3 linked regions of the Lepisosteus oculatus genome follow. The protein of the gene in region 3 interacts with the protein of the main gene of each other region in a pairwise test. Links are inferred from orthologs where the notes say so. Each region holds a gene or a part of one and is shown on either strand. Other genes may lie near its edges. The genes, in order: ythdc1, prpf38a and clk2a.

Region 1 (10,080 bases), on a different chromosome or scaffold from region 3:
TCGTTCTTCCGTTTCGATCCTGCAATAAAAACTTAAGTGTGTAAAGGAGACCGGCGTTAACCTCTGTCGGATACCGTGCTTCAAGGTTCTAGACTGACATGAACTGTGCTGTTCTTCCACATCATATAACATAACCACTTTATTAGCCCTATACAATATCTTGCATTAGGAATTCGTCTTTTCGCATACCCCAGCTTGCTCTCCATGAGACACACAGACAGGGAGAGAAGCTGGGGTTCAGAGCGCAGGGTCAGCCATTGTACAGTGCCCCTGGAGCAGTTGGGGTTAAGGGCCTTGCTCAGGGGCCCAACAGAGCAGGATTCCTCTGCCGGCTGCGGGATTTGAACCGGCAACCTTCCAGCCACAGGCACAGATCCTTAGCCACAGAGCCACAGCTCCGCCCTGGAATATAGTCATTCAGTTACATTTGCAAGCATGCAAAGGTTTAAGGAATGGGCACTGTCTCTAGTTCATTAAACTCCATAACCACAGCAAACCTGTCCTAAGATCCCCACCTTTTTTCTCGTTGATGTCATGCTCACTTTCAGGGTTGTACAACTCGTCGTCCTGGTCAGGTGCCTCAGTCAGGATATCGTCCAGGACGTTGAGTTCACCATCTGAAAAGTATCATGTCCCATGAGTTCAGAAAGACATTCCTTCAGATTTAAGGTCCAAAGGACATGAAAAAATACAAATCATATTTATTGCTTCAAAGTTATACCTTTAAAAGGGAACTTCAGTCCCTCAGTTTCTCAGACTAGTTATTAAATCTCGGTAACAACATAAATTAATTGACAGGATCGGAAAATTTCACAAATTCTGAATTAAGCATAAATTGTGAACTTTGTGAAAGTACTATATGGTTGCTATTTGTTGTAAACCGCTGGTCTCTCCACAGATGAGAGCGCAAATTTGAGAGAATTATGATGTGAATCGAACCATCCTGCTCAATAGTCATCGTCATGGCTAATGTTTTGGGATGTCCAAGCGCATAAGTATAGGTTGTGTAGCAGACATTTCACAACAGCAATGTTAACTCTAAATGCACTTTTGAACAAGTAGTATTTGTCTGCAAAGTTCAAAGTATTTCTATTCGATTAAAAGTCACCTGCAGTTTTGGTACCTCATTCTGAATCGCAGACAATGATGGCAATATGGTGATGCACATGCCTGGAAATGTGGTCAATTTCGTGATGTAAATTGGAAGTCGTACGTGTTACCGTGTACATTTTGTTTTCATTATGGCTTGAAGTGCACTCATCAATGCTGATTCTTTCTAGCCCCCAAATTATTAAATAGCGTTGAAGTTCCCTTTTACAGAGGCTTCCACTAAAGTGATGAAAGCTGGTCCTAATTGAAAGGTATAACAGAAACCGTGCTGCTATTGCATAAATGTTGCTTGTTTTTTTAGAAAGGGTAACTATATATACACAGAATCGTAAAACAAAGTCTACATTACCAAAAGTTCGATTTCTTTAAAAAGAAACCACTCCAGGCTTTTAAAGGTTACCCGTTTTATTTGCCAACAAAAAGTACCAAAAATAAACATACAAAATCCGTAAAGGACACCCCAGCTGAAAAATGCTCATGGTAGCGCTGCATTTAAAACATCCATGCGCAGGAACAATATAAAAAACCAGCTAGCTGCACTGTAACTGATGTTCTGGGTGTGACCTTCGAAGCTGCAGACAGTCCGTGATGCACCACCTGCAGGTTAACTTCCACACCATAAGGTTACATACCCCTCTCCTGTAACAGTGTACAATGTTTGATATTTTGCCTATTTACTTCATTACAGATGTGTGTTTCTTTAATCACGAGTGACATGATGTTTAAAGCTTTCAACTTTGTATGAAAACACCGTGTGAGATCAGCACGTCCTCCCTGCTACTGCATGGTTCTCCGAGGGTCCTGGGTGGTCCCCACCTCTCTCCAGGCATGTTGGTTAGGTTAACTGCCTTGATCCTTATACTTCTGAGATATTCTCACGGCTCGATAAGAGTAAAAAGCTTTTTGATTAGGGGCAGATGGTATTACATGCCACGTCTGAGACTTGACTTTCAATACACTAACATCAGTTCAAAGCCTGAAGCTAAAGTTAAATATTTTGCATGGCGAAAGAGTGACAATGCAATTCTGAAGCAGACAAACTTATAATGTCAAATTCAGCTCTACTCTGGGAACACGCCTCATTGACGCAATGTTCTAGGGTGCAGGTGGGAAAAGAAAAGGCAGTATACCACTCCTTAAAGTAATAAAACTGATTTTGAGAATGCAATGCTGCTCAATGGTGGCATTATTATGGGCTGCATACCTGGTGCTGGGACACTGGAGGGTGCAGTCTGTGGCTTGACCCCCCCAGATGTTTATTTGTTCATCATGGCTGCCCCTCTATTTCTTACTCCAACTGACTTGAGGTTTTCCATTTCATTGTGGGAAATACAGTGATGAATTTATGGAACTCTAAAAGTCCATAACCCCACCTTAAATACAGCACCAGCTCTTGCACACAAATAATAGCTCAGATTAATGCTATAGTTAAAGATTATGTTTACAGAACATTGGCTACCTCGATTTACCTCGAGCATGTTACACTTCTGTCCTCCTGTACTTCATAGTTAAAATAAGACCATTACACAATATATCAGTACCAACCAACAGACTACATCTCTGCCAGTTTATCAGCGGGAAGCTCACAGACCGAAGATTAAATTGAACACCGCCCTTCAGATACAAAATGAAAACCATGTCGCTTCAGAACCACTCACTAGCAAGTCCAAAGCATGTGCCCAAAGCGAAACCGAACTGATGGCTGCTCCATCTGAAATTCATCTTGCTTGATCAGCAGCCGTCCTATGCTGACAGGGCACTCAAATTCAGCACCAGAAGCTGTCAGCTCCCGTTATGCATACCCTGTCACGTTTTTAAAGCGCTCACTCCATGCAGTTTCCCAGCGATCGCCCAGTAACGCAGAAACTGGAGGATCTGAACACGGTAGCCCCTGCACTGCGCACCACTAGCAAGAAAAGTCCCAGATCAAAGAAAATTATAAGTACACCTTTTGCCTAGGGGACACCTTTTATCAGGAGGAAATCTGGCACTCGCGATCTCGATCAGGGAGCGGGTCAGAATCCACAAAGATCCAATCTGTAAACAAGGACGGAGAGGTGCCTACACGATAAGCCTTTCGCCTCCATTTTTGCTCAGAGGCTCAGATTTGTACAGGATACCCGGGGTGGGGTAGTCGCATCTCCCAGCCCAGTCTTTCTGCGTTACAATATCGTATTAACTCCACGGAAACAAGAACACCTAAGCTTTACAACAACCATCCGTGCTTCCTTCCAGCATTTGCAGAGAAAGAAAAAACGTCGATGAAGAAAACACGTCCGAAACCACAAACTTCAATTTTGTGGTGCGCATTAAACCGCATATTGGAATGGATAACGTTATTTAGGGGGCCTAAGTGAGTGTATAACCAGGGGCTTGGCTTGAAAATCAAAGCAGATAGCTGACAAACGACACCGATACAGTCGATCGATTAGGAGGATAAAGGCTCCTCTACATACCCCGCCTGTGGCAGGAGGACACATATCACGATAACCACGCGTTTCACAACGTAGGATTTAACATAAATTACAGACGTCGCTGCACCCAAATAAAAAAGAAATGCACTCCACGCCACCAGTCTTTCACTTACCCGTAAACAACCCTTCCCCAAAAATGAAAATATCGCAGTTTACCTTTCTCATCTCGCCTGTCGACCGCCATCCTCCGGCCCTTTCTCTGCCTGGCGTTTATCTGCAGTGGATTCGTCTTGCCTTTTCTTATAACTGCCTCGTTTATAGATCTAAAATATGTTAAAGAAATACAGTTTTACCCTCCCGCATTCCGCAGCCTCTAACCCACCTCTGTCAAAATGGCGCCCAACCTCCCTGCCTCTCTGATACAATGCGATTACCCACAATTCCCTCCGCCAATACGTCACAAAGCTTTTTGCAGGCTTACTCCTCACAAACAGCTTCAGCGTTCCAAAACCCGGAAGTATCATTCGTGGGCTGTGGGGTTCAAAGCCTCATCTTTCAAAAATGGCGAACTGCATCTTGCATGCGCAGATTAGTGCGCAGGTTGTGATCTCTTCTGTTTGCTGTAGAATCTCAGTAATTGTTTGTTGCCGCAGGCATAACAATGAAATGAATATTGTAAAATAATATGATATATTTAGATGTATCTTAAAAGGCTTTACATAGACTTGAAGAAACTTGTCCAACTCAATTCAGGATCAGTTAAACTCGGTTAGGTGTGATGCTGCTTTTTTGGAGACCTAGACCTTGGTCTGATCCACTGTGACTATGAAGGGGGCAAATCTTAAACTAGAAAGAGAAGTGACTTCTGATTTCTTTGCTGTGCTCAAAGTAAAGAGAACTGTACATACTGTAGACAAAATACACCAAAGACAACAAACAAACTCAGACATTTGCCAGCAGGTTTATGGTAAACACCATAGTCCAAAAACAAAGTTAAAATGAAAGGTTACGTACACTAAACACGTTAATAAATAGAAATAGAGTTGATACAACGAGTGAGAGAACACAAAGCTTTACAAACTTGAGAAGTTTCATGCAAAACATTTGCCGCTTACAATGCCAGATAAAATATGTCTGAGGGAAGAAAAGAGAATTACATTTTCATTTTCACAAAGGAAGCAATTCTGAGAAGGAATTTGGCAGGAATTGAGAATGGGTAGGTTCTACCATTTGACTTCAGGGCAGAGCTAATATAATTATCTCAGCAACAGAACTGAGGTCTACTGAGAAACAAACATTCTCAGAATCGAGTGAAACAGTTTTGCAGTATGAAAAATTGAACTGTTACCTCACTTCTCATTCTCCATAAATTTTAAAATTATAATTCGGTACGCATACACCTTGCCCCTATTATATTCAAAATTTAGTCAGATGCAAAATCAGTATGAATGCTCAATGTAATCTCAAGCTTATGCGAAGTGCAAATACTCTGAGTTTTGCTTGCAAGAAAACTCTTCTCAGTCTTTTCACCAGTCTCAGCCTTTTCCAGCAATCACTCAATAGAACTTCTCAAAAACTACATTAAATTCATTTAGAAATACATTTTTCATTAAACGAAATGATTCCGTTTTTCAGACTGCTATTTCGATTTCCTTTTAATTTGTTGCCCCCATCATAAATGTTTCCGTAAGAAAATGAACACATCATCAGTGTGAAGGCATTTGGAGGAAATATGTACAGTAGTACTGATGGCACTGACATTTAGCACCGCTGTCTCATAGGCCCTTGGGTCCTGGGTTTGATTCCAGATGTGCAGTCCTTGGTGTGGAGTTTGCATGTTCCCCCTGTGCCCATGTTTTTCAGGTGCTCCGGTTTTCCTTGGCATGTTGGCAAGGTTAAGGGTGTCTAAACTGTCTCCGTGTTTTTTAATGCGTGTGTCCTGTCATGGACTGCTATCCTGTCCCATCTTCTACCCCTGTGCAAATGGGACGGGCTCTAGGTTGTCACAGCCCTTATCAAGAATGGACTTTCTGATGTTGGATGGGTAGACTTACTTTAAAAGAGTAGTGTATGCAACTGTGGCCAAAATTATAGAGACATCTGAAGTACTAAAATACAACTAATAAATGAGAAATGTGATAAATATTATTGAGCATTTATTGATACTCAATGCAAAGACAATTCAGCACAGAAATGCTTTTTTACTTTACTTTTATTGCACATGCATCTCAACACACATTTCCTACTCCATCTTGACCACATTTCTTCTGTGCTGAAGCCTGTTCACAGTGTTTTTTGCCTTTTCAGTCCTAATCCTCTCCAGTTGCATTTTTGTTGGTTAAACATGCTATCACCCCATAACATTTCAGTAGTAATAGGATCTAGAGAGTAGTTAGATAATTACTTTAATTTTAAAGCCTATCACTGCTCTTTGTGAATTCAGTTATTCAAGTTTACCCTGACTTTGATGTTTGATTCTTAATTATTGAAAACAACCTTTTCATCTATTAATATAAGCATTGCTTTCAAAATTCAGGTTTAATCTCAAGATATAGTTTATCAATACAGACAAATTACAAAAGTTATTTGTTGTATGTATATAAAAAACAACAATAATAATTCAATAATATTTCTGAAACATTACATAAATCAATATATACAAATTTATTTAATATGGTTATTATTTTGTATCATACCAATCAACCAAATGAATACCATATTTAACATATCAGCTCTCAGCATTCCTTTCCACATGTAGACAGCACGAGAATGTGGATATAAACAAAAGTGTAAAAGATTCTGCAGTTTATCCACAAAATACAAAAAAATTGCATAATAAACAGGTGGAAATAAACAGGAGAAAAAAGTTAATTTAACTCACATCAGAAACATATAAATTAACACTATTTTTTAGTGACATTCAAAATTAACCAACGTTCTACAGGGCATTATCAATGAGAGTAGTATTCAGAATAGCTGTCTACATGTTAACACCAAAAATAAAGATACTGTATGCTGCACATACACATATCATTCAGAACATCTATTTGGAATAATGACAATTACACACTTAATCATGTTTGGAATTCTAAAGGCATACTTTGTAGTGTAATAAATTTGAAAAGCTGAAGCAATGTGCTGCAGCTTTCTGTTCATTTAGTCAAAATGACTTGCACCATAATTGTGCATATTTAAACATCACATTTATGAGGAACATCTACACTACAGTTCATTACATTTATCTATTGCAACTTATGCATTGGGTTACCCATAATAATGGATGTAAACACGGAGACTGGTTGGATTCTACCTGACCTCAACTGGCACATTGTTAATAGTTCCCAGTTTTAAAATATAGTAGTTTGTAAGTCAGTTTTTCTATGCTTGTTTCCCTAGCCTTTTTCTTGCCTACAGTACGTGATATATTATAATTTACAGATGATTTTTCTTTCAAGTGCTATCAGGGGGAATAACAACACTCAAGAATTAGGCAGGTTTATTGAGTATTTAGGTTTTGTAGTATTCCACACCCCTTGGACTGGACTGATTCATATGCTACTACCCTTTCCCATCCAGGCCTGCACCTTAGCTAGGAAATCTTAGCTGATTCACTTGTTTTCTTTCTCTTCTCTCTCAGGCCTCAGCTACAGTACCTCCCCCTGAGAATAGCACGCCCACTGTAAAGCTGAGGGCACTAATCTGTTTTGGTGAGCATGAAACAGTCTCTTCCCTACTCTGCCTGCACAAGACTGGTTTCGCCACTGAATTGGGGATCTCTGATCCCAGCTTGGCGAGGGTCAGTCTCATAGCCATAGGTACTGTAGAAGAGGCTGGGACTCCATGCAGAGTTTAAGACCGACTTGAAATAAAAAAAAACATCTCTGAAATCTCTCCAGAGAATACCAGAGGTGCCACACCAAAGCACAAAGTGTCGTAGACATGTACACATTGAACCTGGTTGGTAGAAAGGAGAATCATAGCGTCTAGACTGTTGAGCCGCTTCGGGTGGAAGGACTACCACCTCACATCTGAAGAACACTTTGCAGCATAAATATTGTGTTTGTATTTTTCCACGTAAAATTAACCCATACTTGTTCTTTTGCACACAGATGCAGTCCCCACTCGAACGTATTGAACCTCATTACGAACTCCAAACTTTTGGCATCTTACCACTGATTGACCCCTTATATAAAGATTATAATCGCGGTTTCACCGATTACTGGAAAAAAAATCCCGGATTGGATCCGAAAGTGAAATGAAGCACTCAGTGACCAGGACTTATTCCTTCTTGGGTTTTGCTTTTGCCCTCCTGCAGCATCGCCGGAAACAGAAGCCGCAGCTTTTGATGAGGACGAACACCACTGCTGCCGTAGCAGCCAGCAGCACGGCGATGACATCCAGGCTGTGGTACTGGTACCAGGCCAGATTGTGAGCCTGCACTCTCAGGTGCTTGGCCCCTTTGTGGCGCATGACGAACTCGATCCAGAACACGGCCCTCTCCAGCGGCGTCATCGGCTGATCGTGGTGGATTCTCGAAAGCCTCATGGCGTTTTCTCTGTACCTGGTAATGAAGGATAAGAACAATGTGATGATTAACGTTTCCCGACATTGACACAATACAGAGGAGGTTTTTGTTGAGGAAGCAGTTGCAGAAACCTGGCTCGGAAAAGCACAGGGTTAGACTCGGGTTCTGGCTAGTTAAACACAGTATTATGCAGTATATTTTTATAGCCTTAGAGAGGCTTAAAAAACTAAAACAGGAAAACAATCTCTCATTTTGCAGCATCCCTGGCTTTAATTTACCCTTTTTAATAAGTCTTTCCAGTTGCCTTTTAAGAAGCAGGGTTGTCTACGAACAACTTAAATGACAACTTGATTCGGGTGTTTAATTTAGGTAAGCTGACGCACATTAATTGTGTTTTCGGAATGGTTTATTAGTCTTGCTGAGTGAGTAACATTTCAGCTCTGGTTCGTCTTACAAAGGTGACAGTGAAACTAAAATGTGACTTACGACGTGTCATTTATCACTGTGCTGAGGGCATCCACAAGGTCTTTGGATTCCATGTTGTTGAAATCGACGACAACAGCTGCTCCCTTGGTTTTCATGTGCATCATGTTGTCGGGCTGGTCACCAAACAGAGGGATGCCCACCATAGGAACCCCATGGTATATGGCTTCGTATATTCCATTGGTCCCCCCATGGGTGATGAAAACCTTGGTCTTTGGGTGTCCTGTGAGTATAGCACAAGCAACAGCTTTTTAAAATTCAGTAGCCCCGCAGGAAGCACAAGCTGGAAACATTCTGCAAGAATAGGCATAGTCCCGTTCAGAGTAGTGTTAGGACAAGCTTTATCCAATACAGGGCCACTGGAAAGCAGGAGCCTATCACAGCAAGCAGTGGGTGCAAGGCAGGATACACCCTGGTGGGGACACCAGTCTATTGCACGGCTCACAGACACAGACACACACACTCGCTCCAGGGCTAGTTTTTCCAAAAGCCAATTAACCTGACAGAATGTCTTCAGGCTGTGAGAGGAAACTGGATCTTACAGAGGAAACCCATGCCAACATGGGGAAACATACAAACCCCAAAAAGAGCACCTGGAATTGAATCCAGGGCCCCAACTCTGAGAAGCAAAGAATTGCCATAGTTAAATGTATCTCATCAAAACCTTTAAAGAGAAATTCAAACACAAAATAATGATGATCCTTGTATTTTTGTGATTTTTCATCTCAAAGCCCTTTAGAACACAAAAAAAATCAAACATGAGAGGTTGTTTCTCATAGGCCATTGGAAGAGACAACTTCAACATGCAATAAATAGCCAGCGTACATAACAAACAGACAAACAGTTCACTGCATTCAAAAGACAACACAAGAAAAATCAAATCTGTGCTGTTTTGCCACAGATTACAAGAGAAAATGAAACATTGCAATTCCAGCACCTTACCTAGAAGGTCATTCTGAGGAATCCAGTCATAAACTCTGGTGTTTGGACTCAAGGTATCTGGCTTCTCACCACTGTACCTCCATAGAACCTATCAATCAAAATACACTAATGGGAAAACCCACCATGTTTTGACAGAGTAAATGTGACCAAATTCCTTGTATGACTGACTAGTGCTGAGGAGCTGATTACAGCAAATTGAAAGACTCAATAGAGCCTAGAGCCCCAAGGTTTGCTTTTGAACTTTTTACTTTATATGGTTTTGAGCAACTTTCATAAAAGACTCAAGGACTGAGTTATCAACAGACAGTTCTAATGGGATCACTGTAAAAAGCTGTATTAGCAACAAAACTTTGATCAACCTATCGGTTGGTCCAGTTACTATACATAAATTAGGTGAACGAGTCTAAGACTGTTCTCAGTTTACAGTACATACTGAATGCACCATTTTATTGCCAAATAAATTGATCAATACTTACTCAAATGGTATTAGTAAGGTATTGACTGTATTGCTAACACATGTCAGTGTATTACGTTCTGTTGTAATTAGTATTGAATTAGCCTTTATCAGTTATAAAACAAACATTTGCTTTATTTAAACTGGTCAAA
Region 2 (10,263 bases), on a different chromosome or scaffold from region 3:
TTGCACAGTACGTACAATACTAGAATTTAAAGACCCAACAGTCCAGTTCGTACCTAGTATTACTGAATTATCACCCTTTCACCAGATTTTGCGTAGCTCACCATGTAGCAAGAAGGAAAACAAACAATGAATATTACACTCCAAGAGATTTAGAATCTTTATTTCATTTATCCCTGGTAAAGATGCACAGAGATTATGGAGATTACTACAGTCATTCAACTGATTCACAAATCATTGTTCTCTGGCACCCATACTGTTGTGTCTGGAGGTATTTCAAAAGAAGAAATACTTACTTTTTCTGCGGTCTCACAGCACTTTTCCTGGGTGTGTCCTCTTTCTTGCAGGGGGTTTTGGAACACCTTGTCGAGACCCTCACTTTGTCCACTTCCCCATCCAGAGGAGAAACTCCAGAAGTGTCCCTGTAACAGCCCAGTGACAACTCTCACTGGCCCATCATCATCATCATTCAGTTTCCATAATACATACTGAAGTCTTCCTATAAAAATATTTCTACCTCTGACAAGGTTTAGGTTTAATTCCATGCTTAAAATTAGAAATAAATTAAAAACATTTAACTTTGAAGCCTTCGGGAGGAGTGGTGGCTCTGTGGCTAAGGATCCGTGACTATGCCTGGAAGGTTGTCGGTTTGTATCTCAAGGCCGGCAGAGGAATCCTACACCATTTGGCCCTTGAGCAAGGCCCTTAACCCCAACTGCTCCAGGTGCGCCTATAAATGGCTGACCCTGCGCTCTGACCCCAAGCTTCTCTCCCTGTCTGTGTGTCTCATGGAGAGCAAGTTGGGGTATGTGAAAAAGACAAATTCTTAATACAAGAAATTGTATATGGCCAATAAAGTGATCTTATCTTATCTTCTTCACTTTTAATTTTGCAAGATGTATGCTGTAAGTGAGCAACACTCTCAGCTCTTCACACAAAAGGGCCAGTATTGACTAGGCCCATCGTGGATCTACTGACAAGAAAGTGTACAGCAGAAATACATACTTTACTGACTCCTGGTTCCGATCGGGACGGGTGCTGCCGGCAGGGTCCTGAGCGCCCTGCAGGGGACAGATGCGAACAGCGGGGGAGGTGATGGCGACTGATCTGATGGGGGAAAGGCGGACAGTGATGCCGAGGGGCCGTGGGGGAGTGGCAAGAACCTTGCTTGTCAGCTCGCTCTTCTGGTTCTCAATCTCTGTGTGAAGCAGCTCCTCCAGCACATCATCCCTGGTGAGCCGAGCCCCCGCGGACTTCCCTGGGCCTACCAGAAGACACCAGAGAGCTAAACAGTGCGAACAATACTTTGGTGAAATAGCTAAATGATATCCTGGGATTGATTAAGTACTCAATACCAAATGAGTTAGATGGGCAGAGATGTTAGTAACATTCCTTACGATCTAACACTTATTTACTTGAGGAATGTCCACTGAAATGAGTAAAACAAACGAAAACAAACATTTAAGTTCATTAAAATTTTTTGGAATCTCTTTTCCATTCTGAAATGTGAAATGAGAAATGTTGGAAGCACACCCACAGTTCTTAACTGTGTTTTTATACCTTGTTTGCTGGGGAAGTACTGACCTACAGCTTGTCCCCTCCCCAGTAAAAAACACTTATTTTGAAAAACCTTGTTTTCCCCCCTGCTGCAGGGGGATGGGCATTGCCTCTGCGTACTATTATTAGGAACTTGTATTTTCAGATTTGTAATCCATTTGTAATGTAAAAGACCATGACCGCTGATGTCGGAGAAGCCGATAATAATAATAACGCCAGCAGCTATAGTATATCACCCTGCAAGTCCCTATTGGCAGCCCAATGATGCTAAGCAGGTGTAAGCCTGGTCAGCATGTGGATGGAAAACTCCTGGGAAAACTAAGGCTGCTGCCGGTAGAGGTGTTAGTGGGGCCAGTAGGGGGCGCTCACCATGTGGTCTGTGTAGGCCCTAATACCCCAGTACAGTGATGGGGACACTATACTTTAAAAAGGCACCGTCCTTCAGATGAGAAAAATAGTAAAATAGTCCTGTCTATGGTCATTAAAAATCCCAGGGCGATTCTCAAAAAGAGTAGGGGTGTTACCCCAGCGTCCTGGCCAAATTTCCCATTGGCCCTTACCAATCATGCCCTCCTAATAATCCCCATTTATGAACTAGCTTCATTACTCTTTTCTCCTTTCCACTGATAGCTGATGTGTGGGGAGCATTCTGGCACACTATAGCTGCCGTTGCATCATCCAGGGGGAGCTACACATTGGTGGTGGTGGAGGGGAGTCCCCATTACCTGTAAAGCACTTTGAGTGGAGTGTCCAGAAAAGCGCTATATAAGTGTAACAAATTAATAATAATATTATTATGGCAAATGACCACGCGAACCACAATTTCAAGCAAGCACTTACTGCTGAGCTGCAGCTTCTTCCGGACGCCTGGGGTGGAAGAACACTTGGCCTGCCGTCGGGCACTCAGGCCTTTTGACTGGGAGTACTTGGAGGAGGAGTGGTGGGACTCAGCCTGGCTTGAGGCTGGCACCCCCACACTCACCGCCCCAGCCAAGGCCCTCTTCATCACAGCAACGTCGGGGGTGGGCAGGCTGCCTCTGGGAGCAGGGGCCAGAGAAGCCCCACTGCCCTGTCCCACCTGCTCAGCTGTGACCGCTCTGAAGGCCTTCCCGTTCCAGGACAGCTTGACGTAGAGGGTGCCGTTGCTCTGCTCCACTGGGAAGGGGGCTTGTGGCTCCACATGTCTCACCTGGAGAACACAGAGTGCCTTCAGACTCGTCTCTCCTTAAGAAATCACCTTCAGAAAGGAATGCGGATCTCCCCCAAGCTTTGCCATGTCATAAGCCAATGCCACCCTTATTAGCAACAACATTTCACTGACTATTTAATTAAGGTTCTAAAAAGCATTTTAAATGAATTATTTTTCACATTGTAAATAAAATCCAAGTAGCAAGATGTTTTGCCCATGTTCTGATCACAAACAGAAATGTTTCATGAGATCAATTTTTAAAGTCTGAGGAAATATCCCAGATCACCTTCAACATACATGTGTGTCTGTGATTTTACTCACCTCCACAGCACCAAGAATAGTCTCCACATCTATTTCACAGTCACAGTTAGTCACGTCATACAGGAAGATCTCCTGAGGGTGGGGCGCCCTGCCCAACATCTTCCTCTTGTTAGAGGGCACCTCCGAGAATCGGGCAAACCACTGCACCTCTGCTCGCTTATTCTCTCTTTCCCTAGGACCTAAAGATGAGAGAACCATGCCATTACTTTTAACCTCATAAGTGTCTCAAGGAAAAAGAAGGGCTAAAGAAACACAATTTGCTACAACCTCACCACCTCCATGAATTTAAGCGATCTTTAAATTCTTTCAAAATACTTTCATGGTACACATGCTCTATATCAGACTGGAGAAGAAATGCCTGCCAGTGACTCACCACTGCCGTAGAGTTTGAGTAGTTTTGCAATAAAGGGATTGTCATCATCATCGCCTTCGATCAAGATGTACTGGCCGAGCTTTATAGAACTGGCTTCTGAAGTGCCTTCTGCATACATGAAAAACCCACTTGAAAAACAGAACAAATTTCGTTCAATTTAGTTTCAGAACCAATATTAAGTTTTATGTGTTAACTTAATTGAATTAACTTACTTAGCACTTTTTCTCTATGTATCTGCAACTAAAGTGTCTTTGTGGACTTCATGTCCTCCCTGAGACCTGACATTCAATTACAATTTGTGGCTTCAAAACCCTCATGGTTAGGTGCCATGATGGACTCTTCCTATGACGGACAGCACAGACAGTATGTGAAGGTAGAATGTTTAGTTTACAGCAAACAAAACATATATAACATTCCACGTAAGCCCCAATATTTTACTGCATCCCAAGTTATCATTCTTGACTGTATAAACAGAGAAAAGAGTTAAAACCTTAGGTTATGGACTTGATCCAGAAGTCACACCAATGTGATACACAATATAGTTACATCCTTTGATCTATGATATACACAAAACCTACTGTTACTGCACTTCAATAAATGTAAATAACATTGTTCTTAAATTGTTATTCTCAGTATTGTATAAATTCTCTTTAACCATTTACCCTACCACTTTAAAACTACAGGTTAGTTTGCTACCTTGCTATATGCCACTCAGTCACACTCATAAGGTGTACCGCAGGACTCTGTCCTAGAACCCCTACTCTAGACCTGTTCCTTGAGTCACTTCCACATATACTTTTTACCTCTCGTTTTGTCATCAGATTTCTCCCTCTGGCATGCTCCTGTGATGACTTCAAGAGTGGTATGCAGAATCACCCGCTTCCTTACCAACTATTCCACACAATTCCAAATGATCAGACTATTGTAACTCCCTCTTTTGCCGACTTCCCTGTTAATACTACCCGTTCACTCCAACTCATCATGAATTCTCTTGTTCACCTTTGCTCTTCACTTGCTACTCCATTACCTGTACCCCTCCACTGCATCCCTGTTACTGCGATTCAAGACCCTACTTCCCTCCCACCACTCTGCTCCTGCCAAACCTGACTCCTGTATCTCTCCCTTCAACCTCCTCAGCAGTGCAATGAACTGCCAACAGAAATCCAAACAGCTCAGTCCCTGACCACCTTTTGGCACCTGCTCAAGACTCACCCGTTCAGAAAGGAGATGTGTCTTCTCAGTACTCAGCTACATACCTCAGAAGCTCAATCAGCCTGCCCTAAAAGCCTTTTGTTTTCAATTTGACACTGGAATTCTCCTACTCAACTGAAACATGGAACTCACAGCATTATTGATCCGTACTAGCACTACCTAGATAGGCATGTTGTTGTTATGGGATTTTACTGCCTCACTTGCAAGTGCAGGTTCTGAGATGCAAAAAGCAAAATAGGCAAAATGGACACTTCTAACATGTAACCTTTCTTATGTGTCCTTGTACTAAACGATGGGATGAATGCAGTGTAAAAACACAACTTATTGATAATGGTTTTTAGTAGAAACAAGCTATCTGATTGCTAAGGAAGCCGAAGTCTTGAACTACTCACTCGTAATAGAAAAACTGCAGTTTCCTGTCAATGAGCGTAGGTTTTCCATTCCAAGTGTACACTCGCCTTTTCCTCTGCCTGGTTAGGTACCGGCTCATCTTTTTATCTCCTAAGGTGCACGAAAAGTAATAAAGCATTCAAAACTGAAATACTGAGAAAATGTGTTTTTAAATCTTGATTTTGAAGAAGAAAAAGTTTCTGAGTAAAGTTATATTATATCAATAGTGTCAACTGAGGTATTCAATTGAACAGTATGTTTAACTGCGTTACTGTCATTCTGTACATAAAAAAAACGTAACATGGAAACGACAGTGTTAATGACATTATGTGACTGAATTTTGAAAATGATGCTCATCTTCATGGAAATGATGGTGAGTAGTCGTCAACAACCAAGAAACAGTGAAATCCATGTGAACATAAACACATTGGACTCTCAGATTCCAGATGGAACCCAGTTATTCTTTCTAGATGTTACGATTTAAAAGATGTACTTACAAAATGAATGTCTAAGCAGGAAAGTAATGCCGCTTGATTTCTTCAGTGCACTTCAACTGATAAAAAAAGTTTGTCCAGGATGACACACAGGTAATAAACTATACCTCAAAAGTTTAAATAACGAAGGTGTGATTTTCGTTGTTAAAACAATCTTTAAAACGTAATTTTCTACTAACAAGAAGTGTTTCTTGTCATTTATTAATTCGCCTAAAATACACCAGACTTCATACAGTTATACAGTTATATCACTTCCTTTACTTTATAAGAACTACCCCCACCGACACACGCTACACTTTCCCGGGCTGGGTGCTCTGTGCTCAGTGACGTCATGTCACGTGACACGAGCGCTTGAAACACACGCCCTTTGACTCCAGAAGTGTATGTTTTCTGCACCGGAAACACTTGTGTTGCGAAGTGTTTTGAGAGGACTGTAGAGGAAAAATGGCTAATCGAACTGTGAAAGACGCTAATAGCATTCATGGAACAAATCCACAGTATTTAGTGGAGAAAATTATTCGCACACGGATCTACGAGTCAAAATACTGGAAGGAGGAATGCTTCGGACTTACGGGTGAGCAGTAGCAGAGACACGTGGTAATAATTGAATAAGTAGATATGGTAAAAATACAAGTGTGAACAGAGCGCAATTCGAGTAATTACAGTAATATCCATGGTAATACTGTCCATTAAAAAAAATTATAAACACACTGCTATTATTTGAGGCCTGTCTGGTTTTAATTTAATCTCTAGTCCAGATACAGAGATTTACAGCTGTTTGATCCATTTGACCAATTGTAATCCACCGTTTAGCTGCAAGCAGTATTAGCAATAGTAATTGGAAAAAAAACATAAGTGAAGTGTTGTGAGTAGGTGGCAAAAACAGTTTAAATAACCTCACAGATTTCGTTAATCTGTGCCTTCATTAAAACGTTACAGTGTTTTTGTAACGTTTGTCTGCTGATTGTCTTTACCACTTTTATTTTCTATGTGCAGCTGAATTGGTGGTGGATAAAGCCATGGAGCTGAAGTACGTTGGTGGAGTTTACGGAGGGAATATTAAACCCACTCCTTTCCTCTGCCTAACCCTGAAGATGCTGCAGATCCAGCCGGAGAAAGACATCATCGTGGAATTCATAAAGAACGAGGATTTCAAGTAGGTGTAGTGCACTGAGCTGAAAGACAAGCTATTGTAAAGAGGGCACGCAGAGCTTCTAGTGAGAAACGGCAGTATGTGGTAGATGTTTTGACAGTTCCATTGTGTTTTGGAGATGCTTGTTTCTTGTTTCTTTGGAGATGCTGAGCTCACCATGCAGGTCTTATCGTTAAGTTTTCTTATAGTTTTTCTACCTTTATGCACTGGCTTGTATTCATCATTTATCATACCATGAGGTATTCTTTCTGAGGTAACATTAAGGATGCTACATTTGTATGCTATATTTTCTTCCATTTAAAAAGTTCTCGGTACTAGCCCTGCTGAGGATACAAAGTGAAAGTCACATTTATTCCCTGTAGGTATGTCCGTTTGCTTGGAGCCTTGTACATGAGACTGACTGGTTCATCAGTGGATTGCTATAAGTACCTGGAGCCATTGTACAATGACTACAGGAAAATCAAAAACCAAAATCGGAATGGAGGTGAGCTTCTTTGTTGTGTGCATGCAGTTGTTTTTAATATTTTACGACAAGGCCGTATTTTGTGGCAGCTGTTTTGTTAGAGGCATATGCCAAGTGAGATTAACTGGAGTTTAGTACTTTTTTTTTTAAATGCTTGTTCACACTATCTTGCCTTTCCATTTCTCAAGAGTTTGAGCTGATGCACGTGGACGAATACATTGATGAATTGCTGCACAGCGAAAGAGTGTGTGACATAATACTTCCTAGGCTACAGGTATGTAGTAGCTCTTTTCATTCTTCTGCACTCTTATAGCAGGCAAATCTCTAGGAATAGCAGATTAAAGAAGTTCATATCACTTTATAATAATAATTAATAATAATTGTTACACTTATATAGCGCTTTTCTGGACACTCCACCCAAAGCGCTTTACAGGTAATGGGGACTCCCCTCCACCACCACCAATGTGTAGCATCCACCTGGATGAAGCGACAGCAGCCATAGTGTACCAGAACACTCACCACACATCAGCTATTAGTGGGGAGGACAACAGAGTAATGAAGCCAATTCATAGATGGGGATTATTAGGAGGCAATGATTGGTAAGAGCCAATGGGAAATCTGGTCAGGACGCCGGGGTTACACCCCCACTCTTTTCAGGAAACGCCCTGGGATTTTTAATGACCACAGAGAGTCAGGACCTCAGTTTTATGTCTCATCCGAAGGACAGTGCCTGTTTTACAGTACAGTGTCCCTATCGCTATACTGGGGCGTTAGGACCCACAGGGTGAGCTCTCCCTGCTGGCCCCACTAACACCTGTTCTAGCAGGAACCTTAGTTTCTCCCAGGAGGTCTCCCATCCAGGTAGTGACCAGGCTCACACCTGCTTAGCTTCAGTGGGCTGCCAGTTGTGAGTTGCAGAGTGATATGGTTGCTGGCATGGCCTTACATGTCTTGACAAGTTTCTTTGATTATGATCGCGATTAAAAAGCACTTGCAGAGTCGGAGTCTGCTGAACAGGTGTGCAACGAAAGGTGTGCATCTGTTTTGCAGAAGCGGCAGGTGTTGGAGGAGGCAGAGCTGCTGGACACTCGGGTCAGTGCACTGGAAGAGGACCTAGACGAGGTGGAGACCAGCGAGGAGGAAGAGGAGGAGGAGGAAGAGAAGGTAAGGGGAACCAAGAACTCTGAACCTCGGTCTGCAGGATGTTCTTCTATCTCACAATTGTTTCCTAATTTTGTTCCCGTTTTCCACTTGGTGTTTCTTCTGTTGCGGTGAAATGCGGTGACCTCCTGCGGTCATGGCTTGCAGCCGGAGAGAGGCCAGTCTCCAGAGCCCCACCGACGAAGCTACCGCGACGTAGACAGGCCCCGCCGATCCCCCTCCCCTCGCTACCGACGCAGTCGGTCTCCCAGGAGGTAAGCGCCTCGCTCTGTTTTTTCTTTCCCAGCAAGAGTGCTGTGATCACTTCACTTGATTAAAGCTGTTGTCATTTGAACGTTTTTCTCAAGGTGTTTTGAGATCATCGGTGTGAAAATAGAATAACCATGTTTGAGAAAGTGACTCCAAAACAGCATAACAAAATCTTAAAACTTTTTATCTTCCTCTTTTGTACTTTCAGACGGAGCAGATCACCTAAGAGGCGCAGGTAATATAATTTTTGAATTCCTTCTTTTTATGGCAACATTGATTAATCGGGGATGTAATTAAGTTGAGATTTTTGTAGTTACTAATTGACACTTATCACTGGCCAATTCCCAATCTATGAAATATAAATTACCAAAGTGTTATTTTGTGAAGTGATCAGACCAGTAATAAAACAGGAACACTTTGTCTACTAACAGCATATTTCTATTAATCAAGTACTTGGGTTTTTCCAGTGACTTAAAGCTGGACACTAATGTGAAGCAATAGACAATATTTTATATTGCAAGATATAACATTTTAAAAGTTAACTAGCACCTTGTAATGCTTTTATTATATCAGCGTTCGTTTACCTGCCTGTCGCTTTAGGGCAGAATTGTCAGCATCAGCCTCGATGAATAAATAGGGCCAGGGATTTGCCAGGCTGGTATTGTAATTGCTGTGGGTTTTTTGGTTTGGCTCTGGAGCAGCCCTTCACCCCGTCGTGAGAGGCATCGGAGCAAGAGCCCGCGCCGGCACCGCAGCCGGTCCAGAGAGAGGCGCCACCGCTCCAAGTCTCCAGGTACTCCCCCGTGTTTCTGCAAACCACTTCTTAACTCTTTCTCCTTTCCAGCGTAACCCTTTTGATTTCATAGCATGAATTGGAACTGATGGTAGAACTGGTTCCAAGCTACTAAGAACAGAAAGCTTAGTGGAGTCCCCTAATTTTGTCAAGGACTAGTCCTGAGATGTCCTTGGCTATAGGCTGGAGCACAGAGGTTTTCAAAGGTAATGTTGATAGGCCAATAGATTAATACATGTATGAAATGTTTAAATATAATTTCTAGGAATCTTTTAAGGCATTATGTAATACCTTTTATTAATACTTGGTAAGTTACAAGCTAAATCTCGCTTTCTGTCAATGCTTGTTTTTCACATTTCTCTAGACCTGTTCTCGCGATGTCTTGTGTTTTGCCCTTCTTTCATAAGTTAATGCAACCTTAATCTTTAATTTGGCCCTGCCTGTGTACTAAATGTATGCTTAACTTAATTCATAGATCTTTAATTGGTACTAATTTAATACTTTCCCTACTTAATTCATTGTGAGTCTGTGTAATATCCTACAATTTTAAGATGCTGTTCCTTTAAAAGCAAGCCCTGGACGTGAACATTCTGCAGAGAGAGCTGTAACTATCAACCTTCGTTTCTGAGGAAGTTTTAATCATGCAAAGAAAATATTTTCTGCTTGACACTTAACATTTTAATGACCCTATCCTGTTATGAGTGTGCCTTATGATATTTATTTTCTTCTTTGTATTGTTTCTTATCAACACGGGTATGACCCTCTTGGGCAGGTCATTGTCATTAATTGCAGTATGTTTGGTCTCAATTGATTCCTGTTTTTACCAAAGGAGAATGTCTTTGTAATTTATTTTCATTCCAGGCCATCACAGAAGCCACAGGCACCGGAGCCATTCCAAGTCTCCAGAAAGG
Region 3 (9,888 bases):
AGGATGGGCTCGCGCTGCCCTCCGAGAGCGTTCCCGGAGCGCGGAGCCCGGAGCCCGGGGGAGAGAGCGCACACACCGGGCAGGGAGGCGGAGGAGAAGCCGAGACACACAGGCAGGCACAGCGAGGGAAGACGAGAGGACTCAGCGGGCGCTGGTAGGAGGGGGGGGTAAAAACGCTGAGGAGAGCCTAAATCGGGCTCTGCGTCCGCCGGGAAGCACCGCAGGATGACTAGAGACTTGGGAACGCTGGGATGAGGATAGGGTTTCTCCTCCTCCTCCGCCTCCCTCTATTCCTGGCCTCCGAGTTAACGCTTAAAGAGTCTCGCCCTCCGCAGGCGGGAATCCGCCCCCCTGCTCTCTGGGACTCCCCGTGAGTGAGACCGAACCAGCGGGGCCGGGCTGGGTTTCCAGCTGGTTAAACCCGCTGCCCGACCCGTCCTGGCGCCGGAGCGGTCCGGTTCCAGCCCAGGGAGCCGGGCGCTCCAGACGCCCCCAGAGAAGCCCGATTCCCCGGCACGACTCCGGCACCCTGGGAACACGCGAGGGGACGGGCGGACCTGCGGGCTGACTGAACGCCGGGGCCGATGCGAAGGCTGTGCCCCCGGGGGTGCGTGTTCGGGGTTCTCCCTACACGGCAAAGTACTGGACTTCCCACCTCACGGGCCTACGTCCACGCAGCACCCCCCTCTGGGGGAACCCCAGCGCCAGAGGCCTGCTCCCCGGATCAGCCCCTACAGCCCAGACCGGTCGCCCAACAGGCAGGAGACGCAGCCTCAACGCGCCTCAACACCGACCGGCCGATCGGACTCCCCGCCGAAACGCGTCTCAACTAGAGGACCAAGCAGGACCGCAGCCCACCGAGGACCCTGAGGAGACCCCACCCTGGAGCAGACAGAAACCCCAGAGCGAGACTGGCAGCACACGGAACAGACTGCCATTACCCACGTGGATTTTTTAAACTATTGTTTTTACAGACGCCCAGAGAGCGAAAAGGTCCGCGCGGCAAGGAAGGACCTTCGCAAAACCTGCCCCGTCTCGCTACAGTGAGAGAGAGACAACATTCACGCCCCCGCCCCCACCCCAAAAAAACATCCACAGCAAAACAAAACAAACAAACAAAAGGTTTGCTACTTACCGAATCCAGGAGCTGCGAAAAGGAGCGTTAGTAGAGAAAGAGGGCAGGAGGCGCGCGAGGGAGGGAGGGAGGGAGGGGGGCAGGGGCGGGGGGGGCGGTGGGCACACTCACCGAAGACGATGGGCTAAAGGTTCGGGTTCTACGCCTCCTTCGTTTGTGCTTACGCCTGCTGCTTTTGCGGCTGGGGTAGCTGTCCTCGCGGTCGCGCCGGAACTCGTAGGAGCGCTGGTGCAGGGCGTAGTCGACGTCGTAGTAGCCCTCGGCGCCGCGGTCCCGCTCCCGGCTGAAGTCCAGCCGCCGGTATCCCTCGCAGTACCGCCGCTCGAACGCCCTGCGGTCCGCCGAACGGTTTTCGTAGCTGCCGGAGGGGGGGGCGAGGGGGTGTGAGCGTGAGAGCAGGAAGCGGACTGGGGGGTTATGGGGAGGGGGGGGCGGACGCGGTGTTAGGGGCCGGACTCGGGGGAGGGGGCGAACTGGCCCTCATGGACCCTTTGAGCGGAGGCGCCGGTCCCCAGTGCCCCAGGGTGGGGACAGTCACAGCGGGCAAGGGGAGGTAACGGACAAGCGCGCGGCACTGGCGCTGGACCCAGCCGAGCGGCGCTGGCCGGGGAGAGGCCAGGGCCCAGACCGGTACCAGCGGTGCCGAAGGACGGGGGCTCGCGGGTGCTCGCGCGGCCGAAGCCCGGCGCCGCCCTGACCTCCTGGAGCGCAGGTGGTAGCTGTCCTCGTGCCGCTGGGCCCGCCGGTCCCTCTCGCTGCTGCTGGACCGCGTGCGGCTGCGCCTGCGCCGGTGCTTGCGGTTCCGGTACCGGTCCTGGTAGCTGCATCGGCTGCCCCGCTCCGAGGAGTGGTACCGTCTCGAATGCGGCATCTGGAAGGACAGGACGGGGCGGGGGCGGGTGAGCCCGGTGGGACAGGTGTGTGTGCTGTGCGCTTGTGGGCCGGCGGCCTGTACCGAAAGGTGACCTGTACCGCTATTTTCACACAGAGAGAACCAGGACCACCACAACGACAGCACTACAGTAAAACGTTCACAGTAACTTGTAAAACCTCCAATTTACATCACAACATAGATCACATTTCCAGGTCCGCACATGTTCTGCGATTCAGAACGAGGCAACAAAACTACCGGTGACGTGTTGACATCGCAAACCAGCAGGCTTGTGAACACACCTCTTTTAATCCAGCAGAAATACCGCGCTCGACTTGTTTTTGCCGACAAATACTTCTCAGCCGTTAACTCTGCGCGCAGATCACAATGGAACGTATCTGCGGGGAAATGTCTGCTGCTCAACCCGTCATCACAGAGACTCGTGAGGAGGAAGGGCCGCATCTCGTCCGGCGGGGACGTTAGCGCAGAGCGAGACCCGCCGGCTGCCCTGGCGACGGGTGGCAGGAGGAGCAGCTGTCACACTGCCCCAGGCGGCCCTCACACTTCGGGGAACCCAGGGCAGAAACTGGGGTGCGACTGATCCCAGAGGGGTTGATGGGCAGGATGATGGGGAGGTGGTGGATTATGGCTGGGGTGGGCACTGGATCTTCCCCCCAGCAGGGCAGGAGCACCCCCCCATGTCTGAGGGGGCCGGGTGGACTGTGGACAGAGGGACTGTGTGGTCACCTGGGGAGACAGTGTGTGGGGCAGGGGGGAGAAGTCAGATTCCGTTCTACAGTACTGCAGCAGTGTTCAGGGTAAGTGACAGCACTACAGTACTGTAGTGTGGCGTGGGTTCATCAGTGTTCAGGGTCAGTGACAGCACTACAGTACTGCAGCAGTGTGGTTCATCAGTGTTCAGGGTCAGTGACAGCACTACAGTACTGCAGCAGTGTGATGTGGGGTCATCAGTGTTCAGGGTAAGTAACGGCACTACAGTACTGCAGTGTGGCGTGGGTTCATCAGTGTTCAGGGTCAGTGACAGCACTACAGTACTGCAGCAGTGTGATGTGGGGTCATCAGTGTTCAGGGTAAGTAACGGCACTACAGTACTGCAGTGTGGCGTGGGTTCATCAGTGTTCAGGGTCAGTGACAGCACTACAGTACTGCAGTGTGGTGTGGGTTCATCAGTGTTCAGGAACAGTGAGAGCACTACAGTACTGCAGCAGTGCGGTTCATCAGTGTTCAGGAACAGTGAGAGCACTACAGTAATGCAGTGTGGTGTGGGTTCATCAGTGTTCAGGAACAGTGAGAGCACTACAGTAATGCAGTGTGGTGTGGGTTCATCAGTGTTCAGGAACAGCGAGAGCACTACAGTACTGCAGTGTGGTGTGGGTTCATCAGTGTTCAGGAACAGTGAGAGCACTACAGTACTGCAGTGTGGTGTGGGTTCATCAGTGTTCAGGAACAGTGACAGTATGGTACAGTAGCAGTGGAGACCCGGACCCTGCGCAGGGCAGGTAACACAGGTACACGCACACGGCAGCTCTCAAAGTCACACGCTTCGCCTGCCTCCGTGGCGTCTCCAGCAGCGCAGGCGGCGTGTTTTTCAACCCGGAGGCCTAAACCCTCAGACAGCGACCCTGTTGTTCTCACGTCAAAACCTCCAAGCCCTACAGGAACAGGTGCCGTCAGGCGGCTCCCGGACACGGACACCCGCTACCATCAGTTTTCACAGCCCCGGGGTGGGGTGGAGTGGGGGGATTCTCGGCTGTGGGTCAGACAGCAGCTCGTGTAATTAATATTTAAAAAGCCAACAGCTCAGCTCAGCACGGCGCCCACCATGTTGTCGCTGTGTCCCGCCCCCATCGACCCCGCACAGGCCGGCGAGCCCCGTCTCTTCAGCCCTCTTTACATGACTGTCGCCCCCAGAGCCGCTGCCTCCCCGCACCCACGGCCGAGTGAGCGAGCAGAGGCAACGGGGCCGCAGTAAGAGAGAGAGGAGAGCGGGCCAGGGGGACCCAGCCTCAGACACACCGCCCGCCCGGGACCCGCCAGCCGTTGGGGCGGAGTTTCGAATTCGAATTGCGGGTTTTGAATTGTAACCGAACTCCGGCCCAGCTCGTGGCAGCTGCTCGGCGACGGGGCGCTCTTGTTGTTTTGTTTTTTTTCCCCTCTCCCCGAGTCCGCCATTTTACAGCCCGCCGCCGCCGCCGCTGCGCACCCCTGCTTCTCTCTCTCTCTCTCTCCCTCCCTCCTCCCCCGCCGCCATCTTAGCTCGACACGCTGGCCCGCTCCACGGCCGCTCCGGCTGGGAAACACCCCGGCTTCCCGGGCACCCGGGGGCCGGCCCGGCGCCCCCTTACCGCCCCGAGCCCCGAACGCGCAAGAACAGCGATAATTGATTTCATGTTTTACCGTTTTCGCAGCGAGGCCCGTCCGCTTATCCCACAGGAAATCCGTCTTGGCGGCTCGCTCTCTCTCCCTCTCTCGCGCTCTGTGCTAGCAGCTGCAGCTGCCCGCGCGCTCTCGCTTTCCTTACCTGCGCGCTCCCGAGAGTGGGGGGTAGCCGAGCGACGTCAGTAGCCAAGCGTGCTCGCCCCCGGACGGCTTATTAAATACCACTTTGACGAGAACTCCGAGCTACCTGTCACACCCACAGAGGGCTCAGCGTTAATACACCAAGGCTGTGTCAGTGTTGTCGGTACTGGTGGTAATGTGTGGTTTGTGAGATGGCCCGTGAGCCGCTGGCTGCTTCATGTGTGGCGGGCGAGGAGCACAGGAAGCTGTTGAAAACATCACGCAGGACACAGGCTCACGCATCACGCTGACTTTATTCACAACCGATGCGCAGATCGGCGCCTCCAGGGCGCTGGACAGCACCGGCAGCACGTCAACACAGCAGAACTCGAGAATAAATCTATAAAACTGACGAGTAAAAATCCAAACTGCACGGAAGAGCTCTGGACACAAACTGTAAATAACCACTGAAGATAAAAGACACTGTCGGCGGGTGAGCTGTAGAGGGCGCTGAACACCACACAACACAGGAGGACTGAACACTACAGCACAGGCTGCGCACTACTGAACACCACAGAACAACACAGCACAGACTGCACACTACTGAAGACCACACAACACAGGAGGACTGCACACTACTGAACACCATAGAGCAGCACAGCACAGACTGCACACTACTGAACACCACAGAACAACACAGCACAGACTGCACACTACTGAACACCACAAAACACAGGAGGACTGCACACTACTGAACACCCTATAACAGCACAGCACACAGGAGAACTGCACACTACAGAAGACCAGAGCAGTCCAGAGAACTGCGCACTGCTGAAGCCCAGCTGTCAGCGGACTGGGATCTGAGGGCTGGGCAGCAGGGGGCGCTGTGGCGCTGCGTGGCGAGGGCTAGGCGGTCTGGCCGGTCCCGCTGGGCCTGGCGTACCGCACCTCGCTGTAGGTCAGCCTGTCCTCCTGTCTGTCCTGGCGCCGCCGGCCCGGCCGGCCCGCGGGCTTCAGGTCCAGGTGTGCGTAGGTGACGCCCCCATAGGTGTCCGTCTGCAACACAGCAGGGTCATGTGTCACACACCTCGCAGCAACACACAACACCTTGCAACAGTGCACAGCGCTGCACAACACTCACAACAACACACAGCACTGCACAACATTCACAACACCTCGCAAGAAAGCACAGCACTGCACAACACTCACTACACTGCACAACACTACACAACAACGCACAGCACTGCACAATACTCTGTACCTTGACCACTCTATTCTTACCCTCCCTTGGCCTGAACCACCCAGATTAAATATAAGTACTTTTGTTAAGGTGTATAAAGTCTACACACACTGGTCACATGACACCACACTCACCTCTAACCCAGGTACAAGAGCGCCCCCATTTGTCTGCCTCGAGTCTGCAACAGAGGAGCACAGGACGAGCAGAGCAGTGATCCATTCTCATGAGCAATACGAATCAATCCGTCTGTTCTCTATCTGTGTGTGTGTCTGTGTGTCTCATGAGCAATACGAATCAATCCGTCTGTTCTCTATCTGTGTGTGTGTCTGTGTGTCTCATGAGCAATACGAATCAATCCGTCTGTTCTCTATCTGTGTGTGTGTGTGTCTGAGCTGGTGTGTGTGTGTGTCTTACCTCTGTCAGAGGGTGAGCGATTAATGGTCAGGTAGGAGATACTGCCGATCAGAGCCAGCAGACTGAGGGCAGAGAGAGAGGCCAGGACAGCTGGGTACAGAGACCCACTCGGACCCGGGCACCACTGGAGCGCAGTCAGCTGACCTGTTCGAACAGCAGGGGGCGACACCTCACAGCTGTGTGCTGTAATACCTTTATCCTGACACACTGTAGTGTTCTCAATAATAATGGGGTGAGGGGTGGGTGATGGGTGATGGGTTGTAAGGGATAGGTCAGGGTGGGTGATGGTGGGTGTGGGGCTGGAGGTGGGAGTGTGAGAGTAAGAGGTGGTAGGGAGTGGGTAAGAGGTGGCTCATGGGTAAGGGGTGATGGGTGAGGGGTGATGGGTGAGGGGTGAGGGGTGAGGGGTCGGTGAGGGGTGAGGGGTGAGGGGTCAGTGAGGGGTGAGGGGTGAGGGGTGAGGGGTCGGTGATGGGTGAGGGGTGAGGGGTGAGGGGTGAGGGGTAAGGGGTGAGGGGTGAGGGGTCGGTGATGGGTGAGGGGTGAGGGGTGAGGGGTAAGGGGTGAGGGGTGATGGGTGAGGGGTGAGGGGTGAGGGGTCGGTGAGGGGTGTGGGGTGATGGGTGAGGGGTGAGGGGTGAGGGGTCGGTGATGGGTGAGGGGTGAGGGGTCGGTGAGGGGTGAGGGGTCGGTGAGGGGTGAAGGGGTGAGGGGTGAGGGGTCGGTGAGGGGTGTGGGGTGATGGGTGAGGGGTGAGGGGTGAGGGGTCGGTGAGGGGTGAGGGGTCGGTGAGGGGTGTGGGGTGATGGGTGAGGGGTGAGGGGTGAGGGGTCGGTGAGGGGTGAGGGGTCGGTGAGGGGTGTGGGGTGATGGGTGAGGGGTGAGGGGTCGGTGAGGGGTGTGGGGTGATGGGTGAGGGGTGAGGGGTGAGGGGTCGGTGAGGGGTGAGGGGTCGGTGAGGGGTGTGGGGTGATGGGTGAGGGGTGAGGGGTCGGTGAGGGGTGATGGGTGAGGGGTGAGGGGTGAGGGGTCGGTGATGGGTGAGGGGTGAGGGGTGAGGGGTCGGTGAGGGGTGATGGGTGAGGGGTGAGGGGTGAGGGGTGAGGGGTCGGTGAGGGGTTAGGGGTGAGGGGTGAGGGGTCGGTGAGGGGTGAGGGGTCGGTGATGGGTGAGGGGTGAGGGGTGAGGGGTAAGGGGTCGTGATCGGTGAGGGGTGAGGGGTGAGGGGTCGGTGATGGGTGAGGGGTGAGGGGTGATGAGTGGGTGAGGGGTGTGTGGTAGGTAAGGGGTGGGTGCTGTGTGGGTGGGTTTACCTTTCCCCTCGAGGGTGCGTGACGAGACGTTCGGGCTCTGATGGACGCTAGCCCAGCCTGTCCGGGCCTGGCAGGACCACGGCCCCCCCTCGCTCCACTCCTCCTCCGAGACGTTCAGGCGGCTGGTGACGCGGTACCTGCCTGCCACCCTGGTGGTCTCTTCCAGCGCCGGGCGCTCCCTCTCGGCCCCCAGCCAGCTCACCTGAGCCCAGGGCAGCGCCAGGCCGCTCACCAGGCACAGCAGGGCCAGGCCCTCCCCGCGCCGGCCGGGCCGCACCAGCACCGAGACGCTGGGGCTGTCCGCGGGGGGGTCTGCAGGGGGGGAGAGAGGCAGCGCGTGGCACGTGATGAGCGCAGATTAACGGGGACCCCCAGAGAGCCAGGCAGCTGGCACTGCAGCCTGCGTTAGAGCTGCATCAGGATCTCACGTCGTCTTGCAGAGCCCAGCGCATCACCCCAGAGAGCAGCCGGAAACCCAGGGTGGGTGGGGTGCGGCTCTGTACACGGCTCTGGGCTGTGGGGCTCGGTTCTGGCCGGGGGCACATTCTGTGAGGAGTTTGCATGGTCTGTCCGCGTGGGAGTGGGTTTTCCCAGGTGCTCCTGTTTCCTCCCACCTCCCAGACTCCTGCTGGCTGGGTCACTGTTGTCTCTAAATTCCCCTGTTGTGTCCCTGTGTGTCCCTGTGTATCTCTGTGTATATCAGTGTGTGTCTGTGTGTCCCTGTGAGTGTGTGTCTGTGTATCTCTGTGTATATCAGTGTGTGTCTGTGTGTCCCTGTGTGTGTCCCTGTGTATCTCTGTGTATATCAGTGTGTGTCTGTGTGTCCCTGTGTGTGTCCCTGTGTATCTCTGTGTATATCAGTGTGTGTCTGTGTGTCCCTGTGTGTGTCCCTGTGTATCTCTGTGTATATCAGTGTGTGTCTGTGTGTCCCTGTGTGTGTCCCTGTGTATCTCTGTGTATATCAGTGTGTGTCTGTGTGTCCCTGTGTGTGTCGGTGTGAGGCAGGCAGATATTAATATTATTCCAATAATACTCCTTATGTTTATATGCAAATATCTTATGATTGTGGCTTTATTGTAAACGTCTGTAGATTGTTGTTCCATGTTAATTGTATTTGTTTTGCTTTGGCAACACCGATTGTACTCCTCGACCATGTCAGTGAAGCGCCTTGAGTTGAATTGAATTGTCAGTGAAGCGCCGGGCGCCCAGAAGCCCGCAGCCGCCCGGGCCGCAGGGCGGAGTAAAAGCTCGCTGTCTCTCCCTCGGACCCGGTCCCTCCCTCCAGACCCGCCGGGCCCGACAGAACGTCTTGGAGCCTGTCGGGTTTTGCTCTGTGTGGTTTTTGCCAGCAATCGCACCCAGCGCCGCCGACCGGGTCTTCTCTGGGCTCCCCGGCCCCGGACAGCCCCGGCACGGCGCGGGGCGGGCGGGTTCTTACCTCCGACGACGAAGACGGTTCCGAGGTCCGGCAAGGCGGTGCAGCTGTTGTTCTGCTCCCCGCAGTAAAACACGCCGGAGTCGGCGGAATGGGCGGCGAGCACCGTCAGCTGGACCCGGTTCGAGTCGATTCTGGTGCTGCTGTATCGGCAGCCGGTGTTCCGGTTCTGGTTGCAGTCCGTGTTGAGGATCTCCAGCTTCCCGTTTGGGTCCATTCGGAACCAGAGGAGGTGCTCATTGTAGAAGCCCTGCTTTGTGATGCAGGTGCAGGGTACCGCGGCGTCCTGGCCCGGCTGGGAAAACACCCAGACCCTGTCCTGGGCCGGAACCGCTGAGGAACAAACAGAGCCCGCCAGGTTCGGCTTGTGTAATAATAATAATAATAATAATAATAATAATAATAATAATAATAATAATAACATCCAGAAGATCTCATAGTATTACTGCACGTTAATAATATATGAGCAAAAGCGATTTTAATAATAACAGCAACAATATAATGTATCATACTCTTATTTCACTTTAGCAACGATAATAATACAATTAGATCAATAGTAATTTAACAATTATTAATAAAAGCTATTTGTTTTATTGCGCTTTAACAGACAAAACGACAGAAATGATATTAATTCAATATAATAATAATATTAATAAAGTCTAATATCATTATTGCACATGAACAACAATAATAACAGTAATTTTAATAATAACAGTACGAATATATTCAGATCTAACAGTATTAATGTTCATTAGCAAAGACGATGATAGAAGTGCAACAGTAATTTTAATAACAATGGTAATAATATTTCAATAAGATCTAATCGTGTAATTGCACATTAACAACGAAAATCAGAACAACAGCAATTTGAAAAATAAGAACAGCAAAAACAGACTAATAAGAATAAATCTAATATTAATACTGCGCATGATTAACGATAAAAACATTAGAAAAGCAATA

The links.
Region 1: the proteins of clk2a (region 3) and ythdc1 interact in binary tests that used the Homo sapiens proteins (3 or more experiments, as listed by UniProt). The two-hybrid records come from large-scale screens. The link is inferred for Lepisosteus oculatus from reciprocal best matches to the Homo sapiens genes CLK2 and YTHDC1.
Region 2: the proteins of clk2a (region 3) and prpf38a interact in binary tests that used the Homo sapiens proteins (3 or more experiments, as listed by UniProt). The link is inferred for Lepisosteus oculatus from reciprocal best matches to the Homo sapiens genes CLK2 and PRPF38A.

The regions. Positions count from the first base shown.
Region 1 is NC_090698.1:64,044,696-64,054,775, forward strand, and holds the start of ythdc1 (YTH domain-containing protein 1), read right to left. Parts: upstream 3,942-10,080; 5' UTR 3,769-3,941; coding exon 3,741-3,768; intron 618-3,740; coding exon 516-617; intron 32-515; coding exon 1-31. Other genes in the region: UDP-glucuronosyltransferase 2A2-like, read right to left, coding at 7,803-8,085, 8,536-8,755, 9,475-9,562. UniProt on the Homo sapiens protein: Regulator of alternative splicing that specifically recognizes and binds N6-methyladenosine (m6A)-containing RNAs.
Region 2 is NC_090704.1:14,895,624-14,905,886, forward strand, and holds the start of prpf38a (pre-mRNA-splicing factor 38A), read left to right. Parts: upstream 1-5,920; 5' UTR 5,921-5,977; coding exon 5,978-6,107; intron 6,108-6,529; coding exon 6,530-6,689; intron 6,690-7,048; coding exon 7,049-7,170; intron 7,171-7,337; coding exon 7,338-7,423; intron 7,424-8,199; coding exon 8,200-8,313; intron 8,314-8,457; coding exon 8,458-8,564; intron 8,565-8,767; coding exon 8,768-8,794; intron 8,795-9,260; coding exon 9,261-9,352; intron 9,353-10,213; coding exon 10,214-10,262; intron 10,263-10,263. Other genes in the region: orc1 (origin recognition complex subunit 1), read right to left, coding at 294-419, 1,003-1,261, 2,395-2,743, 3,065-3,243, 3,438-3,565, 5,042-5,139. UniProt on the Homo sapiens protein: Involved in pre-mRNA splicing as a component of the spliceosome.
Region 3 is NC_090722.1:6,921,364-6,931,251, forward strand, and holds the start of clk2a (dual specificity protein kinase CLK2), read right to left. Parts: upstream 4,562-9,888; 5' UTR 4,425-4,561; intron 2,007-4,424; coding exon 1,834-2,006; intron 1,494-1,833; coding exon 1,247-1,493; intron 1,235-1,246; exon of another isoform or gene 1-1,234. Other genes in the region: uncharacterized protein, read right to left, coding at 5,433-5,582, 5,901-5,944, 6,181-6,324, 7,494-7,805, 8,932-9,261. UniProt on the Homo sapiens protein: Dual specificity kinase acting on both serine/threonine and tyrosine-containing substrates. Phosphorylates serine- and arginine-rich (SR) proteins of the spliceosomal complex.